Linked DNA regions of Mus musculus: regions 1, 3 and 4 are each reported to be linked to region 2. Evidence: microRNA targets listed by miRTarBase, many of them from high-throughput screens and not tested one by one. Region 2 holds a microRNA gene; each other region holds the end of a gene's coding sequence.

Region 1 (3,084 bases), not on the chromosome of region 2:
TGTGAATTTGTTTTGTATGTTGAGTGTGGATATACATTCCCAGAGGCAGAAAAACGCAGCCTGTGAAACTTCGGAGCCAGTGCAAGTGGACAGGGTAGGGCTTACTTATTGATGCTCGTAGGTCAGCGAGGCTAATCCTGGGAAGCTTTCTGGGGCTCCTAGGAGAACCTTTATTTGCTGGCGGGGAGCTTGGCTTTTGTGTCTGTTGTAGGGTACTAGGGGTGGGAGTGTCAAGAATCAGTTCTAGAAGGAGCCCGAGGCTGTGGATTTGCCCTGCCCACCTCACTCAACCAGCAGAGGCTCCGGAACACTGGATGCTCTTGGCTTACCATTAGCCAAGTTCATTACCAGCCACAGCATCAGGGTGGTGCAACAACAGGTCTGAAGGTCTGAGCTCAGACTTGATCCTACCAGCTTCAGCACAGAAGGCCCATGTCTCTGAAATTCGAAGCCATGTGGCCTGAAACAAAAGTGTTTCCACAGGCCCCCACCCCGCTCTGTGAAGCTGTTCTGTCTCCCTGGAGGCCTAGCACCCAGAAACACACACACACACACACACACACACACACACACACACACACACACATTGCAAGATACAGGATATAGAACTGACCATGAAAAGCCCAACTGAGACCAGAAACTCCCAGTCTGGGACTCTCAACATTCCTTCGAAAACCCTTCAGTCCCTGGGGACAAAGGCTTAGGAGGGAGCCCTGTGTTGACGCTCAGTTTATTAGGAGGGATGGTTTCCTTTAGAGGGGGAGGGGAAACAGCTGTGATTTTAAAACACCACCTTTCCCTTTTAAATTGGTTTTTGTATTCTTTGACACAAACAGCGATTTCAGTGAGCAGCAAAAGACACAGCATCGGAAGAGAAAAGAATAAGTACCAATGGGGACATGGATGTCAGCACCCTGCACAGATAAGGTGCCTAACTGGAGAGAAGTCAGGTAGAAGGCAGAGGGGGCTGTGCAAGCTATAAACCCTCCTGCCCTCAGACATGGAGGGCTTGCTGGGAACGTGCAGTTGAACATAATCTCCACGAGGGGAACCTGCCTTTCTCTTTCCTGATTGGTTTGTTTCAGCTTTGTCTACCTTTTGCAAGAATCCAAACCCATTAGTATCACTCTGAGGAATACTGAGAACTCCAACCCCTGGAGGCTTTCTTACATCCCTGTCCCAGAAGGAGCATCCTCCAACAGGCTCACTGCTTTCTTCTCCATGAAATGTTAAGATCTCAGGTCACGTTTCTGTCTGGCATGGAGGCCCAGATATTCTGTCTGAATATCTCACCACTTCAGACTTTTCCAATGTACGGAGCTGTTAGGGACCTGTTGCTTTTGAACTTACCAAGGAATCAGCGTCCTTATTTGCGAATAATATCTCAGCTGATGGCAGGAAAGATCACAGAAGTGTTCACACCCAAGCAACTGTTTTAGTTCAAGAAAAGGTAGCTTTGTTTTGATAAAACAAAAAACAAAAAACACTAGCATTCAAGTTGCCCTGAAAATTGCCTGAAGGCAATTTTTGGTGTGCCAAATAAGTTTTACGCCAAGATCAAGTTTCCAGCTTCAGTCAACTGACTTGAAAATGTCCACCTGACGAAAAGCTGTTTGCTACCTCACCTTGCCAGCTCACCTGGCCGGCTAAAGGTTCTTAGGAGAGAGATAGGCAGATGTATGTGTTGTGCTAACTCCTGAATGTCTTTGAGTCTAGGAAATTCTATTAATGGAAGGCACATCCTAGACATTGTGAAGCAATAGCAGAAAATGAAACCACAAATATCTTGATCTCGGTATGAAGGACTTTTTGTTTGTTTGTTTGTTTTCGAGGCAGGGTTTCTCTGTATAGCCCTGGCTGTCCTGGAACTCACTTTGTAGACCAGGCTGGCCTCGAACTCAGAAATCCACCTGCCTTTGCCTCCCAAATGCTGGGATTAAAGGCATGCGTCACCACCGCCCAGCCTGAACCCATTTTTTTTGGGGTGGGGGAGTGGTAAAAATATCTACCCCAATCTACTATCACAAAGTGTTTTGTAGATCAATTTTGAGTTTTATTTTTTTTTAAAAAAACAAGCAGTATGCCTGGGGTTCATAAAATTTATATACAAATATATACACAGACACAAATAATATTAAAATAAAAATCACACGGTTTCTCGTGGTGGCGGCCCTGGCACCCCACAAACATAATGCTAACTTTTCCTTTAAAGAAATTGCTTGGCCCAAGAAGACCACAGTTAGGTAACCACTAATAAAGCTGTAGCCGTTGCCTGCAACATTTCAATTCAGGTTTCAAAAATATATAAATAATTTAATTACAAAAACCCAACAACATTTCCCTCTTTTTTTTTTTTTTTGGCACAGTGAAGCATTGGTTGTTAGCAAAGAAAATGACCATAAGTTTGATTGACAGCTCTCTTACACGCAGCAGTCACTCCTGTGAAAGACACACATTTACACAGCGGGGTCTCAAAACCCCAAACAGTAGTCATCATTTACCCCATGGAGTGGTTCCCTGATGTATTTTTCTTTTTCTTTTTTATGGGTGGGGAAGGTAAATCAGTGGAAGGCGTGACGCAAATAGGAGGGAAAGGAAAGCCTCTATGCGGGAGAGTACAGGCCTGGCCAAGAAATGGAAAAGAACGGCTTTGATCCTCTGTAAAGTTACAAAAGACAAAGGAAACTATTCTGGACTAAGTTAAAACACTTGGGTCAAAATGCTTAACTTTAAGGCACATTTGATGGAGAGTTGAAAAAAAGAAAAACTCTATTCCTCCGGAAAGTGGAAAGTGCACAGCCCTAGAGCCCACATTCCAACCTCCTCAACAAAAGGCGCCCCCAACTCCACCCTGCTCAGCACCCCTTCTGCTGAGCACAGAGCTCCTGTCAAGCTAGCAGAGTCTCCACCGGGTAGGACAGGTGCGGACCGGGACCGCAGGCCGCTGCCGCCTGCAGGGCCGTGGGCAGCCGTAGGGGGCAGTACAGGTGCGCCGCGCCGGCGGTCTCCGGACCTCGGAATGGCTTGGCTGGAGCCGCGGTGGAGAGGGGCGCCAGCAGAAGGGGCGCCGCGGGCTGCACCTCG
Region 2 (3,084 bases):
GGATTGAATAAGCAAATGCAGGGGTGGGGGAAGGGCGAAAGTCTGGAATAATCCACCTCACAGGGACTCTGGGGAGCGGCTGGCCCAGGCAACCCCAACACCAGGCAATGAGGCAAGGAGCCTACCCAGGAGGCAGCAACTCAGGCACCTAGGAGCCACCGAGCCCGAACAATATAAGAAGGTCCCCAGTGGATTAAACTGCACCAACTGCCCTGAGAGGGTAAGGGTAAATCCTTCCGCAGGATCAGACAGCCAGGAAGAAACTGGTCCTGCTTGACAGGGTGAGCCCTCCCCTCCTACCGCACCCTCACCAGCATGGTCCTCTGGAAGCTGATTTTCTGCGGAGTCCAACCAGCCTTGTGGCCTCTGCTCACCGGCAGTCACTACTATAGGTGAACTTTCACCCAGGTCGAGAACAGGCTAGATGAGGAGAACCAGAAAGCTATGGCCAGTGGTCATCCTTTGGGAATGCAGGCCCCAGAGGGGTGGAGCCCTGAGCCTGGAAAGAAGTATAGAACTGGGCCATACCAACACCTGCTAGTGAGGTCTCAGCAAAGCCTCCACCAAGGCCAGTGTGAGAGGCAGGACCACTAGGGGTCTGAGGACTGCTTTGGTTAGAGGGACCCAGCTCTGAGTGGCCCCCTGAGTGCTGGACAGGAGCAGAGTTGGGTTCACAGAGGCAAGACCCGAAACAGAGACCTCACCAGGGTGAGGCGGTGAGGTCTCTTCCTGTCCTTCCTTTTCCCGCAAGTGCTCAGATAGCCTTCTGCACAGGACATTAGTGCCATACCCCAGAGACTTATGGAAGCCCCCAGTTGGCAGTAGTAGGTCTAAATGTCCTCGCTATCCAACACAACTCTCAGGGCACCCAAGCAGGCGGGCGGCCCTGGATGCTCAGGCACGTTCCTGGTGAGCAGTCAACTGGATTGGTTGATCTCTAACTTCCAGACTCAACTGTACACATTCCCCTGGCCTGGCCCCAGCCCTCTTTAGCTTGGCCACCTAACTGTAACTGGACTGAGTAACTGGCTCTTGCAAGAAGTTCCCCTTCCCCAGGGAGAAGCAGTCTCATTAGGGGCTGGCCCAGTAACTTCAGATATGATGGCTACCAGATGGTCAGTGGACCAGCTTAGTCAGCTCAGCTCTCACTGCCTGCTAACCACCAGGGCTTCACCCAAGAGCCTGGCTGGTGGGTGGGCTCTTCTAAGCCCTATGGACCAGGTCCAGATCTAACTCATTTTGAAGGCCAGGGATATATGAAGGGTCAGAGCCAAGATTCACCCAGCCACAGGGGGCAGGGGTGTGTGAGCACTCTCCACAGAGCAAGGCCACTGGAGGTCAATACATTGTCGTGACTGAAGAGAGGTAGCGACCCTACTTCACTACTAATGGACCTCCAGCCTGTCCCTCCATCTGTGAGATGACTCTTTACAAACTGGTGCAGCTGTTCGAGATCAGAGCTTACATACACAATGTTACATAACACATATATGGGCAGCTTAGGGACATTAAGTCACAGGGACTCCAAGGATGCAGGAAACCAACACTAGTGGGTGGATGGAAAGGCCACAACTGAGCCTTCCAGAACATTCCCAGCCCTCCACACTAGTATCCCTCTCATCACTGACCTAAGGTAAGCCACTGATGGTAGGCTCTAGGGACAGCCACCCTCATAAAACACTCATGCTGAGCACAGGATATCCCATTGCTTGGAATTGCTTCCTTGGAATCCTGTAGCAGAAGGCTAGACCCCAAAGACGGCTCGCCTTAAGGAGGAGGAGCCCAACAGGGCATCACAGAAGCTGGCCCTACAGATGGCGACCCCCACCCCCACCGCAAGCATCTCCATCTGTTGGCCCAGCTCGGATTGCCCAGCTCCGACTCCACTCTGGCCTCAGGCAGTGAAAGGTGATCTGGCTGTTCACCAGGGTAGGGCTGTACCCTCCTCACCCAGCAGTAAGCCAGATGGGCCAGGGAGCCAGTGAGACACACAGACCCTGGGATGCCGGGGGAGGTGAACGTGGCCGCAGCAGCCCGCTTTTCCCATATTGGCACTACACATGATTGCTCACAGCGGAGAGACACAAGCAAAAATGTGCTAGTGCCAAAATCGGCCAAGCAGATGGTACTGGAACAGGCCCTCTGGGGAAGGAGCAGAGGAGGTCTTTGTACCCTGGCACCCCTGGAAACAGAGGTCTAGGCAGAAAGGGGTGAGGAGCTCCAAGGTGCTCGCGGATCTGTCTCTGCTCTGTTTATGGCCCTTCGGTAATTCACTGACTGAGACTGTTCACAGTGAATTCTACCAGTGCCATACACAGGACAGGAGTCACACTCTCCAGCCTGCAGACCCTGCAGAGGGGTCAGCTGCCTTCTCCTGGAGGTCCTACAACCTACTCCCCCCACCCCACCCCCACTGCTGTCATCCGCAGTTTAGCAACCCTCCTCACCAGCTCTTCACCAGCTCGTTGTTGTGCACTAGCCCAAATTGTCCTTCAAGAAGACAAGGACAAGTGAGGAGAAAGTCTGATTTCTTGGACTTGCAGAGGGCAGCAGAGTTTCCCATCACATCCCAATACCATCACCCAAACAAGCCACCTTCCTGCCAAGGTCAGCAAGCAGTTGCCAGATCCTCATAACCTAGGGCACTGGACCTCACCTACTCCCAAGTGGGCAGTGACAAGAACATCCAATGTGCTTCTCATGGCCTCTCGGCACAGAGGCCAGCAGTCCTGGCTTGCCCAGTGACACAAGCAGAGGCCCAGAAGGCAGGACTGCAAAGTGTCCCCGATGGGCACCTTTGTGGCTTGACCAGGGCCAGGATCAGGGCAGGGGGCTCCTTCAGACAAGGAGGCAGCTCGGAAGGAGCCAGGGTGAACTGTTTCTGGCAGGAGCCCTCGGAAGCAGCCTCTGGAAGGTTCTGAGAGTACTTTGGAGGACGGTAGAGGCTACAGAGCCAAGGGAGGGCTGGGGCGGTTGCGTCAGTGGTTGCTACAGCGGCTGCCACGAGAGAAGGCAGGATGGAGGCCCTTGCCTCTGGTACCAGGTGCCCTGGGGATGGAGGAAAGAGGGAGGGTAAGTCTCTCT
Region 3 (3,084 bases), not on the chromosome of region 2:
TGTATGCAAACATACCTGATATGCACAGCCACCCATGAAACCATGGTCCCAACACCTCCTAATGTTTTGTTTCCTGCCTTCATGCCATCATTTTCTTGTCATCTTTGCTTAGATTGTGGCTAAGAAGTACCGAAACTATGACATCCCAGCTGAGATGACAGGCTTGTGGCGATACCTCAAGAATGCCTATGCACGGGACGAGTTCACCAACACCTGTGCAGCTGACAGTGAGATCGAGTTGGCCTACGCAGATGTCGCCAGGCGCCTCAGCCGATCGTGAGCTTGGCTGTCTGGCCCAATTTCTGCTGCAGAAGAATTCTACTTCTCCCAATGGCTTTCAGCTCTACAGACTCTTCTTCCCCATTGCCTTGGGGAAACATAAAAAAAAATTAGGCCACATCTTACTGGCACCCCTGAACTCAACTCCAGCCTTCTACCTTCTAAGATCAGTGCCATCCTTCTGCCTTGCCCTGCAGGAGCCTGGCAAGCAGAGGACACGGTGGCAGATTTTTTTTCCACCTGCTGGTCTGATCTAGGGTCAGTGTATCTGGGGTCAGTGAATCTGGGGTCAGTTTGCAGAGCTCTCATGGGATTGTCACCGTTCCCTTCTGCCAATATCATAATGCTTTCTCAGATGCGCTAACAACTTGAAATGCCAGCTTCTCTCTCCCCTCGTTCCTCAGCAAATGCAAGGTGATGGACAGATACATCATCGTCAGGGAGAGATCTATGCCTTGATTGGGGAGACAGTGGTTGGGGGGACTCAGCTGGGTGTGGCTCTAGCAAAACAGTTCCAGATGCTCACTATTTCTGACAGTGGGCCAGATGGAGACACCCCCAACACACAATATACCCCAGTTTTCTGGTGCAATATGATTACATCCTGGCCAGCACTGACCCAAGTTTTCCTCCTGTCTCCATTTTGCCACAAAGGCAGTCGATTTATAACTCTAAACCAAGGTGACCCAGATAGGGAGAGACTTCTGGGAAGCAATATTGATGCCAAAAGGCCCAAACAGGGTCTACAGCCACAGGGGTCACTGGCTGAAGAGTAGTCGTCCACTGGAGATCACATGAGAGTGTGTGTGTGTGTGTGTGTGTGTGTGTGTGTGTGTGTGTGTGTGTGTGACTGTGTTCTTCAGTGGGTAGCTTTGGGTTTGAGCAAGCGAAGGAAGTGGAGGGATGGGAGGAAATAAAGTTCTATTTGAGTTTGACATAGCCTAGAAAACTTTTAGAGCAGTCTTCTCTCTCATTATCTAAATCTTGGATTGGTGTTACGGCACCCCTACCAACTGTAGAGCAGACTCCAACATCAGCCAAAAATGTCTTCCAGGCTCTTCATAGTCACTTGCAGATGTGGGTTGCCACCTGCCTGTGCCCTGGCTCCCAGTTTCTTCAGCCTCAGCCTCTGATGAAAGAGAAAGTCTATTAATGAATGGTGTGATCGTGGGCTACCTTAGGAAGAAAGCCCATGGGTCTTTCTGACTGGGAAGCCACAACTTGAATTTGGAAATTATGGACTGCCTTGGGCTTGGGTTCATTTTCCTGTCAGCAGGCTCATCTATCAGATTTTCAAGGAAGAGAAAACTTTTTAAAAATTTCTTTATAAACTAATATTTCTCTCTTTAGTAATTCTCCTTGAGTTTTACCTACAACTCTCACAGGGTGTGACCATGAGAACCTAGGCTGATTAGGAACTATGACAAATCAATCACTCATTAGCTCTTCCTCTACCAGTGAGCTAGTGAGTGCCTAGAAGAAATCCATCACCAGGACCTCAACTCCAACAATCCCGCTTCTGTGTCACTGACAGTGGAGGCGAGGCTCCTGAGGGCCGGTAAGGCCCTGGTCTTGGCTCATTGCTCGGGAGGGTGGAGCAGCACAGATCCTTTCCATAGAAATACAACATGGTTTAACCCAAGCAGTCACTGAGCCCTCCTGCCTCTAGGGATCTCCAAAGCAAAGAGTGACCATTGATCCAAGGAGGGAGGAAGCAGGAGGTCTCCCTAGCCCACTGGGGAAGAGGACTCTGCCTGCTAGAAGTTTATAAACCTGAAGGGGCTTTGAAGAGGCAAAATGAGCCGATTCATTTCCATCGCTACAGGAACCTTTCCACGGGCTCTCCATAAGCTACCCCTGGGGATGTTTAAAAGTGTAGCACTGCTGAGGGAACAGCACTTTTTTCTTCAGGGAAGAGCCCTCAATGGGCCTCTCGGGGAAGCAGAACTTCCGGAACCATCCGGAAGGCCGTTTAATTAAAAGAAAACCATGCTGTTCTCCGGGATCCTTCCTAGAATTTACAAGCAGGCAGGGTGAACTCACGCAGCTCACACCCCTATTTTCCAAAGGTGGGCTGGTGTTAAAGATATGAAGACTAGCGTGCATGCTGAGGGGCCTCAGAGGAAGGGGAAGAATTTTCCTCATGTGATGCTCTGAGCCCAGCAATCGGCATGTCTTTTAAAAACAAACTTCCCAAGCCGAGTCGATGTTGTTTCTAGACGGTTCTCCTATGGTTGAGTTAGTTTCACATACATCACAATATTTAGGCAATGTTGGATGCTATAGGATCAATCAGAACCCCTTTAAAGAGAGGCACGATTGTAAATGGGAGGCTTTCCTCAGTACTTTAATGCAGATGTAACTTTAATGTTATCAAATAACTATAATGAGACTAACCAATGTCTTAGGACACAATTATCATAGTATGTAAAAAAAATAGCAATAAAGTCAATGATGATTACCTACCCCACCCCCTCCAAGGAGAGTTTTCTCTGGAGGCTCTAGTTTCTTTGGACCTTGGTCTTAACCTTGATATGTATATGGTTTACCATCTGCAGTCACCCTGTGTTGAGGTTCCAAGTCCCAGCTCAGACCATGTGGAAGGGTTTGTAGTGTGGACTCTACCTGCAGAAATTCTGGATAAGAGCTATTCCGGTAAATGCCAGTCCCCCAGGAAGCATTTGGATGTCAGAGAAAAGGAAGCTATGTTGACAGAGCTATTGTGTATTCTTTTCTCACCTTGGATTGTCACATGACAATCTTGTATGTATGAAACGTTAAGTGCAAAGCAAGACAGACAGACGG
Region 4 (3,084 bases), not on the chromosome of region 2:
TTTTGTTTTTGTTTTTAACTAAGAGCTGACAATTGAATGGAATAATACATATGATATGGTAAGGTACACTAACTGGTTCAGTGATTCTTGGAGATACCGGAGACCTCAGAGTCAGGGAGTGAGGGTTCTGGAACTGCAGTGGGCCTGGATGGAGAGAGCATGCTCTCTACACTTCCTCTTTAGTTCATGTCTATCTCAGGAAGCTTATGTTCCCCAAGTAAATGGTGACATGGATGAGAATGCAGAGAAGGGCTCTAGGCCAAGTATGGCTGCCGAGGGCCTGTGTGGCCCTGTGGACGGTGTGATGGCTAGACCTGGGGCTCTCAAGTCCGTTTTAGCTCAAGCTTTCAGAGTCCCAGCCATGAGTGTATAAGGAGCAGTGGTTTAGCTGGGTTTGCTAATCTGTTTCTCTTTTCCTTTCCAATGATCCCATAGAACTGCTATGATCTCCTGGTCAGGAAGAAAAGACTTATCGTTCTCTTCAGCCACTGGCTACTGCACGCCTATGGCATAGTCTCCATCTCCAGAGTGGACAGGCTGGAACACGACCTACCGCTTTTGGCTTTGGTACCTACACCAGCTCTGTTTTACTTGTTTACTGCAAAATTTACCGAACCATCACGGATACTCTCAGAAGGGGCCAATGGACATTGAATATAAAATGCCAAAAAAAAAAAAAAAAAAAAAAAAAAATCCCGAAAAGTATTCTTCATTAAAAAAAAGTAAAGAAGAATTAAAATGTATTAATAGCATTCTTTCATACATGGGAAGAAGATTGTCCAGATATTATAATGCTTGTGCTTTATCTTTGGATTTATTGGACCTTGTGGTTACACTTGGAGACTACAGGGCCTCCTGTTACTGTGCTCTGCCTATCTTAGCTATCACACCGGAAGCCCAAACAGGCAGGGGTAATTGCTCTTTGGAGCACGGCCATGTTTTTGTACACCTGTGCTGATGGTGTCTCCCTGCTTTTTGTGAAGAACCTTTAACAAGTGTATTCTGAACTCAATTGCTGTGGCATCATTATGCCTTCTGTTGTCTATACATTACCTTCGAGGAATTACAAAGGCAGATGTGCTTGTGGAGTGTGATGGCAAAAACAGAAACAAAGGATGTCTTTGTCAATGGCTATTTATTTTCACCAATACAGTGTTTAGTAATATTTCAAAAATAAAGCATAATTTATATAACGAACTTTCTGTTTAGAGACAGTTTGGTTGAAGACATGTTCAGATTATTGTTCCTGTAAAGAAGAAAACAATAAAGAATTTAATTGTAAAATAACTCCATGTTCTGATAATTCTTTTTTGCTACAGTGATTATGGAAGTAATTAAAAATGTTAAGCATTACGACTCATATTTCTTCTGTCTACTGAATAAATATGCTCACTCCCATTCTCTCATATTCAATTTCTTAAAACAAGATATATAGGCCACACTGTATTGATCCTGAGACTTTTTTCCAGTCATGACATTTCTGAGTCAGGATCTTATAACTGGAAGTCTCTGAGATAGAGTGAAATATGACATACATAGAAGGTCCCCGTGGCTGGTTTTGGATGGGTAAGTGGCCATGTTCGTATCTGAAGGCTTTGAGAGACTCATGTTCTAGCCATGGAAACAAAGACCCTTAGCCCAAAAATCTGGCCATGTGTATCCATTTGTGATTTGAAAAGTTAGTCCCCGAGTCTGCTCATGGCAACTCTGAAGACTTCTACTGATGCTACAAAACAAACTTAAGAGCACTCACGTGGCCTGTGCTTCTTCTTCCGGCTTCTTGATTGTTTCTTTAACATTTTGCAGATCCTGCTTAATGTGAGTCTCCTAGCATGAGAGGATGGGGAAAAACGAAGTATTTCTTGATTCTTTTGCTTCTTTCCTATAAGAAAAAAATTGGGTTTTGTGGTTATTACTGAATATTAAAATGCTGAGTTGCTCCAAGAATCCACATGTGAGAGGTGACATGTCTGATGTGCCACCTCTGAGCCTACTGCATTTGAAACTGTTTTGACAGTTACCTTCCTATGTCCTCTCCTAGCAAAAAAAAGTCTGTATAAGAGAAGTCATAAGATAAAAAGGTTACAATTCTGCAGAGGCAGAGATTGTTAGGGATACTCAATTACTTCATGGGAACAAAGTTATTAATATAGCCACGCTAATTATTCATGTTAGTAACGTTTGATAAAATGTGTTTATTAAAAATATGCAAAACAGGAGGCAGAGGCAGGTGGGGCTACAGGCTTGGAAAATCAAATGCCAGCCTTGGTCTACAGAACACGCTTCAGGACATCTGGGGCCATAAATAAATAAATAAATAAATAAATAATAAATAATAAAATTTGTAAAACAGCTCTCATCCTAGTTCAGCGTCCATCATGTTTGAGGTCTTCATGACACATTGCAACTTAAGGCTAGAGTACTTTGCTATTCAGACCTGAATAATTTGAAAGGCAAAAATACTCTCTTAATGTGGACTTCTAGATGAGTTTAATTTATCCAAAACTATGAATTTAAAGGACTTTGCTGCTCACTGGAGCCATGTAGAAATTAAAAAAAAACAAAAACAAAATGTGCCTGAGCTCACCCCGATACTCATGATAAGCTGGTCTAGCATGCAGCCTCAAGGTGGATTCTTTTTTTTTTTTTTCCTTCTAACCTAGATGTGGAAGGTTGAGAACCACCGGCCTACAAGTCTCCCTTATCTAGAGCTTAGTTTTCCCAAGGGGCATTTTGGGTTTGGTTTGGTTTGGTTAGGCGTGGCTTTCCCAAGACAGTCTTGTTACGGCTGTTATGACCTACCCTGGGTGACCTTGAGCCTCTGGATCCAGACTGCCTCAGCCTCCTGGGGCAGGGCTCGCACAGTGGGGTTTTCACGATACCCTTTGAATTATTCAACAAATGATTTCACTTTACTCTCTGTAATGTTAATTTTACTGTAACTATAAAATTGAAAGTAGTTATTTTTTCAGAATTAAATGATCAAAAAAATGGGCGTAATAGTATTGAGTCACTTTTCCATCATAAAATGAAAAGGCCACTTTGACCATGCTAAGAATTGGTTTCTCAAAGCATGTTATGATC

The links. The annotated mature microRNA mmu-miR-96-5p reads UUUGGCACUAGCACAUUUUUGCU and lies in region 2 at 2,087-2,109, opposite strand. An mRNA with a match to its seed (bases 2 to 7 or 8) in the 3' UTR can be bound and repressed. Matches are read on the target gene's strand: a 7mer-m8 pairs with bases 2 to 8, a 7mer-A1 pairs with bases 2 to 7 and ends in A, and an 8mer does both.
Region 1: the mRNA of Foxq1 is a reported target of mmu-miR-96-5p. Seed matches in the 3' UTR shown: 8mer at 2,357-2,364.
Region 3: the mRNA of Clic5 is a reported target of mmu-miR-96-5p. Seed matches in the 3' UTR shown: 7mer-A1 at 1,001-1,007.
Region 4: the mRNA of Jkamp is a reported target of mmu-miR-96-5p. Seed matches in the 3' UTR shown: 7mer-A1 at 663-669.

The regions. Positions count from the first base shown.
Region 1 is chr13:31,559,924-31,563,007 of GRCm38, reverse strand. It overlaps Foxq1 (forkhead box Q1), which reads right to left. Exons shown (of 1, transcript NM_008239.4): 1 at 2,032-3,084. The coding sequence ends at 2,889. Among named protein-coding and RNA genes, the nearest start is that of Gm11377, 3.2 kb to the left of the region's middle.
Region 2 is chr6:30,167,420-30,170,503 of GRCm38, forward strand. Mir96 (microRNA 96) reads right to left here and starts at 2,132; the gene lies at 2,027-2,132. All of the region lies in intron 1 of Mirc35hg (microRNA cluster 35, host gene), which reads right to left. Mir183 (microRNA 183) reads right to left here and starts at 2,318; the gene lies at 2,249-2,318.
Region 3 is chr17:44,275,102-44,278,185 of GRCm38, forward strand. It overlaps Clic5 (chloride intracellular channel 5), which reads left to right. Exons shown (of 6, transcript NM_172621.2): 6 at 113-3,084. The coding sequence ends at 280. Among named protein-coding and RNA genes, the nearest start is that of Clic5, 88 kb to the left of the region's middle.
Region 4 is chr12:72,100,175-72,103,258 of GRCm38, forward strand. Jkamp (JNK1/MAPK8-associated membrane protein) reads left to right here. Exons shown (of 7, transcript NM_024205.2): 7 at 436-1,353. The coding sequence ends at 654. It overlaps Ccdc175 (coiled-coil domain containing 175), which reads right to left. Exons shown (of 21, transcript NM_028687.1): 20 at 1,754-1,882; 21 at 1,118-1,246. The coding sequence ends at 1,233. Among named protein-coding and RNA genes, the nearest start is that of Jkamp, 16 kb to the left of the region's middle.